2 linked regions of the Arabidopsis thaliana genome follow. The protein of the gene in region 2 interacts with the protein of the main gene of each other region in a pairwise test. Each region holds a gene or a part of one and is shown on either strand. Other genes may lie near its edges.

The links. The genes of interacting proteins can lie anywhere in the genome.
Region 1: the proteins of AT3G51370 (region 2) and SAUR19 interact in a two-hybrid assay, tested with the Arabidopsis thaliana proteins (one study listed by BioGRID).

Annotation. Positions count from the first base shown.
Region 1 is NC_003076.8:5,962,224-5,965,465, reverse strand, and holds SAUR19 (SAUR-like auxin-responsive protein family), read left to right. Parts: upstream 1-2,060; 5' UTR 2,061-2,160; coding exon 2,161-2,433; 3' UTR 2,434-2,693; downstream 2,694-3,242. UniProt on the Arabidopsis thaliana protein: Provide a mechanistic link between auxin and plasma membrane H(+)-ATPases (PM H(+)-ATPases, e.g.
Region 2 is NC_003074.8:19,067,061-19,070,817, reverse strand, and holds the start of AT3G51370 (Protein phosphatase 2C family protein), read right to left. Parts: upstream 1,692-3,757; 5' UTR 1,099-1,691; intron 862-1,098; 5' UTR 765-861; coding exon 452-764; exon of another isoform or gene 432-451; coding exon of another isoform or gene 374-431; coding exon 6-373; intron 1-5. UniProt on the Arabidopsis thaliana protein: May dephosphorylate and repress plasma membrane H(+)-ATPases (PM H(+)-ATPases, e.g. AHA1 and AHA2), thus influencing negatively plant growth and fitness.

The sequences.
Region 1 (3,242 bases), on a different chromosome or scaffold from region 2:
ATAGTGCAAACTATTGTTGTAGTCTGTATAAACAGAGACTGCTCTGTTTCTAGCATTTTTCATGCGAGCCACGTTTGCTTATTCATATTCAAAAACGGACAAAATCAAGCAGAGAATCACAATCAAGAACAGAACTTGCCAGCCATTTGCTTATTACTTCTCTGGCTTTTTATCATGAGATCCAATGAGAAATGTTTTGGAGAAGCTCAAGGTTGTGAAGATGATGGTGTAGGTGGCCTTGTTCCATGGCCGTTGGTGTTGAAATATGTCTCTTTATGTCTTTGAATTTTCCTCTGTCTGACAAAGAATGGGCGTGTTTAATTTTGAAGGGTGTTACTGATGCTGGTGAGTTTGTTTATACGCCAATGAGTGTGTATGAATCCTTCCATGTGGTGTATTTTGATCCAAAGAGAAAGAGTATTAGAGTAACCAAAATTAAAGGAATTGCAAATGACCTATATAGACGACTTAAAGGGCTCAGACTCGATTCTCTCAATGATCTCGATGTTTTCCCAAATAACATTGAGAGACTCTTGTTGTTGTAAGATCATTAATGGCTCAATGCTATTAATCACTTATGCGATATTAAGCTTCTTTGATTTCCTTAGGCTTTTCTTGTCATGATTTGTGATCATTCCTATGGTTTTACTATCATAACATGTTATAGAACAATTAATGTGGATACTGGATACTGCATGCAGACTATTGCATAAGATCCGTAAAACCCGAGACTGGTCTGTTCCTAGCATTTGTCAAGTGAGCCACGTCTCCTTCTTCAAATATTAAGATCAGGACGTACGACAAAAGCAACCAGAGAAATCACAACCAAGAACCACAAGCAAATGTAGCGAACTCAAACCCTCATGAAGTCTAGTTTAGCTTATCGTTGCTCGTCTTTTGTATCCACATTCATTTATCACGTTAGCATCTGGACGACAAAACCATCTAAACTCTCTTCTTATGTGTCCACTCTTACATCCACAAGTTTCAGAAGATTTCCGAGAGGCTTTTAAATTCGCTCAGGGAGTGCTAAAAAGGGTTTCTTGTAGTATACGAAACTCTCAAAACATCAATTCTAAGATGTGAGAAAGTGAAAAAAAATTGGTTATTAAGTGAGTGTCTTTACTATGCAGGATCATATTGATATACATTTTTGGTTATATTCCAAATATAGATTTTCATAAAATAATAGTTTTACATAAAATAGGTGTTGAAACTGTCCTTTTGCTTGTAGCCTCTACAGAAAAGCCGATAATCTTCTTTGAACTCAAGAGGCCTCTGAACAAAGCCATTTCTTGAGTCTGGAAAATCTAAATTTGAAGCTTCTGAGAAAAAGTTAGATGCTCAAAATTTTGAGGTCTGGATTGCTTCACTACTTGGTGAAGAGTTGGTTCTGTCTCTGGATGTATAAATAGATTGATAAAAGACTTCAAATCACCCTGAAACCATTCAAAGTAGGGGTGAGACATACACAAAGATAGTTTCACATGGTTCTGTTTTTTAGGTATGATAGATGACAAGTTGACAACGGAAGCTAATGAGCATTATCATCACTTCACAAGGGTCTGTCTTCTCCATGTCTGTATAATAAATGAAGAGAAGAAGTGAGGTATTCAGTCTCTTTTAGTTTTCATGTGTGGATATAATCAAAGAACAACTAGAGAGTGACATTGAATTGTTGTTCTGTTGTTGAATAACATTCAGGTCCCCACTTTAACTTCTTAATAAATCCATTTCGACTGCAGAGATTAGAGTACTATAGGACAAAGAACCAACCACCTAATCATCACAGAACCTGCTGTCTTTGTTCTTGCAAATATAGGGCACGTCTTATCTCAGAAACATTGAGAAAGCAAGCCCTTGTGAAATTTCACATGGAGATTATTTAAGTAGATAAATTTCATTAATGCATCTTTTCCAGATGGTAAAGACAGAACCATGTGAACTCTTGCTCTAGTCTGTCCCACGCTTCAAGACCACAGTTTCAATGACTTTTTCAGAGAAGTTTCAAATCGTTCATTGATATTTCTATATATACACCCATAACCCCATTATTTCTATCATCAACCAACAACAAGCATTCCAATAACTTGAATCTTTTCATACATCTTCAAGAGCTTCATAATAATTCAAACTTCTTTTATTTAAAATAAAATAAAAATGGCTTTCGTGAGAAGTCTATTGGGAGCAAAGAAGATTCTAAGCCGCTCCACCGCAGCAGGATCTGCGGCACCAAAAGGGTTTCTTGCGGTGTACGTAGGAGAGAGCCAGAAGAAGAGATATTTGGTGCCGCTCTCATACTTGAGCCAACCGTCATTTCAAGCTCTGCTCAGTAAATCCGAAGAAGAGTTTGGGTTTGCTCATCCGATGGGTGGCTTAACGATCCCTTGTCCCGAAGATACTTTCATCAATGTGACTTCTCGGCTCCAATGAAGATGATCCAACATTTTTTCCTTCAGTTAGAAATAGACTTATTCATTGTAAATACATGAGCTTTTTTCTCTTTCTTCTTGAAAGAGTTGTTCTAAAAGTGTAGAAAGTGAAATACAAAATTAATGTTATATACAAACTTCATGTCAATACATTTTTGATCGCTCATTGAAAAAGAAAGACGACACCAAATTCATCAATCAAAAAACTACTCTAATTATAGTTTCATGTTGATTAAAAACAATTAAGTGGAACATCTAACATCCGGATCCGTGGCGCAATGGTAGCGCGTCTGACTCCAGATCAGAAGGTTGCGTGTTCGATTCACGTCGGGTTCAATCCCCCGAACTTTATTCCGGATATCTTTTTGTTTTACCTGCTTATTTCCAATTTTTGCCTTTTGATGCACTACCCCCGGTTCGGGATTCTTGTTACTCTAACCGAGAATTTCAGATCCGGTTTTAGTATTTGTTTGCTACTCTGAATTAGACGGAAACAAATAACAAATGACCACTTTTAACTTACACAATTTATCAGTGGCTGGCTCTTACGTATAGTGTGGGGGTTACATTTAGTTGATGTCTCCAGTGACATTTGATTATAGTTTTCAAGATATTGTCAAGCAAAAAGGAAAAGAAATTTACTTTTGAATTCCAAACTTCTGTTTGTATTTTATTCTATAAATAACATTGCTTTCTCCTTCCAAATAATAAAGACAAGTATACATTGCCCAAAAAGGAAAACTATAGAGACACGCACTAGTTAGGGTTGATGTGGACTGGATCCGATCCCTTTCTTCAATGATTTATTGA
Region 2 (3,757 bases):
CATACCTGAATAAGGCCCTTAACACGCCACACATTGTGCTTTAACATGACAATATGCGAGTCATCTGGGTGCAAGGAGTGCATCTCCTGTCTAACAGACTCTATACTCACATTATGTTCAGCAGAGAGCTGAAGGGCAATAACCTCACCTGTCGCCTTCATAGCCCTTCCAAGAACTGCACGGGAATCCCCAACATTAGCTATGTAAAGCATCCCTCCGCATATAACACCCACCAAGCAGCAAGACCCAACCGCTGCAATCTGTGGCTTAGTTGGCCACTGCTTTGTCACAACCCCTAAAAAACCTTCTTCTGTCGCCTCATACGCCTTTTTAATTACATCCACCGACATAGAGGCCTGCTCTGCAGCAAATCCTGAAAATTCAAACAAGATTTTAGTTTCCGCACGGTTGGTTTGTAACCTGGTATGCATATATCATTCAGTTTCCTCACTCTTTAGATGCTGAAAAAGGTGATCATTAACAAATCGCGACGTCTCAGGCCCGCCATGGCCATCATAGATTCCAATAAAAGTTCCATAAGGACCAGAGTCAAGAGTACTCAAAGGCCCAGACTCAACTTGGCTCTGATCCTCAAGCAAGTTGTTGGCTTGAACAACAGCCATGGAGAATTCACCAACGAGGTGCTGACCAAAGTCTTTGTACCAAAGCAATCCATCTTGTTTTCCAGTTGAATCAGAGGACTTGCCCGAGGAAGAAGACGGCCACAGACAAGCACTCAAGAGTTTCATTAACGTTGATAACATCCCTCATTTCATCAAGACACCCCTTTTTTCCTCCACATCCGTCAAAGCGATGCACAGAAACAATCAAAGTCGAAAAAAGATTTAAGCTTTTAAGAATCTGCAATTCAAAACAGAATTAAAAGTAAGGATCTGAACAAAACAACAATTTTATAAGCTTAATAGAATCTGAAAACTCTCGACTTGGCTGAGCAAAAATGATATCAAAAACCCAACTTTAAACTAAAAAAACTGCAAACCCAATTGGTTAATGGATCAGATAAGCAAGAGGGAATAGTTTATTCAACAAGGATCAGATCAAAATCCAAACTTTTTCAAACTCTGAGAAAATTAGTACCTGAGAGATTCTGGAGTAGCTGATGTGTAAACAGGAAGAAGTCACTCGCAGACTTTTCACAAGTCAACTGATACACATCAAAGCAATTACAATCAGAGAAGCAATCTTATAATCCAAAAAAAGGATTTGAGGGTTTAGTGATTGAGAGAAAAGGTCGACAAATACAGGTATACGAAAAAAAGATGAAGATCTGAGAAAACAAATTGATGTAGAGAAAGAGAGAGTGATGGATCCGAATCAGATCCAGAAGAAAGAAGGAAGAAGAAGAAGTAGCGTCGACCTTCTCTCGGAGAGGAAGAAGGCAAAGGAGAAAAGAGAGAAGAGAGAAAGGAAAGGGCTCCACTGCTTCTAACCAGACAATCCAATCTCTCAAATTACTTACTGGATCAGATTTTCTAAACCTAACCCTTCTTTTCTCCTCTAATTGACTTTTCTTTCCTCTTTTTATTTACCCAAACGGTCCTTTATCTTTGTAATAACTTACAATTTATACCAAATAACTAATTCTGTTATCAATTAAACCCACAACTCCGAATTCGACGATTCCTTATAACTTGGAGAGGTAAAAAAAAAGTGTTGCAGATATAGACAAGTGTTTGTATTGGTAGATATATGTAGAAGAAAAAGATTGATAGTTAAAAAACCAAAAAAAAAAAGATATAGATAAAATGTGTGAGTGATAAGGGAGAGGGACACGTGATGAAATGAGATTAGAGAGAAAGGTTAGCTGGCGAAAGAAGACAGACATACGTGTGCAACTTCCACATCCAACTCCACCTGCACCTGACCTGCTCTTCTTTTCCCCTTCACTTCTCTCCCATGTGCCTTCCCTTTTCCTCACTTTCCTCCCATTTGCTCTCTGGCTCTTGAAAACAAAACGGGCCTTCTCTCTACTTATCACAAATTGGGCCTTTAGATATGTCTACTCGGCCTTATAACCAAGGGCAAAAAACGAGGGGGAGTAGTCAAGAACACCAACCCTACTTTCACTCTTCACCACGAAATAAAGACACCACATGTAAATTGATCACGTCTTTCTAAGTAATGTTTTGTCTGAGAATAACCAAACTTTGGCTTCACTCATCACTACACAATCCTTCAGTTTCTTCTTAAACGAACGATACATATTGTATATATAGATTTCAAACTAATTAATTACTACATTTCAGACTCCAGTTAACAAAGGATCAACATTTAAATAACTACATTGTTCTTTTGGATCGGATTAAGGGAATATAGAAAAGATGCAACATCATTCGGAAGTGAAGCAGCCTCTTTGCCCTAAGCCACGCCGTGTGTGTCATTCTCTTCCTGATTTCATCAAACCTCTCTCGTGTTCCTTACACTCCTCCACCTGGTAACATTACATGGTCTAGCTAGATTGTTTGTTTGTGTTTTTTATACATTTGGTGTAATTTGTGTTTGTGCTTTCCAAAAAGTTAAGAACATGATTCTTTTTGTTTGTAAACGTAAACACAAAAGTTTTTTTTATAACAATCGAAACTATATATCATTTTCTTCTTGTTTCTTGAAATTAATCATGATGATTCATTCATCATACATGTGTGTGCCTTAATCAGCCAACAAAGTAAGGAGGGAAGAAGCGACGTTCTCAGCATTATCGATAAGGTCGTCGTCATTCTTGCTTCTTTCATCATTTCTATTAGACATTTAATTTGTAGATTTCTTCCTTTTCAAAACAATAGTCCTTTTCATCTATTTTCTATGAAATTATCTAATTTATATATGAAAATTGGTAAAAATGTAAAATGATATATCAAAACTTAACTTTTTTGTGAGAATACTAAAACATAAACTTGTTTTAATTAATTTCTTAAAATATTTTTTCAAACTTGCATGCATGAATCGATCTTGGGTGTTATTTAAATATAAATGTTCATCGTGGTCGTAGGTGCAGCCGATAGAAGGTGGAACCATAGAGTCAATGTGGTACGTAGGGTCTCCACCAAGGAGAACCGGAAATCCTCTTGTACACGACCTTCATTTCATTCACTGCCTCCATCTTCTCCCCAATTTCTCAAGAACGAAGGCTTGATCATCACATCTTCTTAGACTAGCTACGTACCTCGTCTATACATATATATGAATGCATAGTAATTGCTTTTCAAACATTTTTTATTTTTAAAAGTTTTTCTCCAAGATATTCGTCTAATCTTCACATCTTGTACATGACTTGTGTTTCCTTTTATCTAATGTAGTTGTTCGTAGTATGTGTAAGTTCCAGAGTTCTACGTACTTTCTATCATTTTTGTTACTATAGTTTAAAATTAAAACTTATTTTCCGGAAAAAAAAAAGTTAAGAGAAAAGCAAATGATGGAATCAAGTGATTATTTTCATATCTGTTGAGATTAGAGATCAAAAGTTTATGATTCAGTCTAAGATCTACTAATTTAAAGAGAGAAACTTTTTTTTTCTCATACAATTAATTGAGATTCATCAAATATCAAAATTCAAAGCTGGCTGGATTAAGAAGAAGAATTTGATCTGGGTCCCATATATACATGACACGTGTACAAAAACTTATCAATAGTCAACGTTTCTATTTTCAAATAATTGTATCATATTTGCAATTCGATCTCTCTTATCTCTATATTATGACAAATTCACCCCATTGTTTTCCGTACAGATTTAAACAAT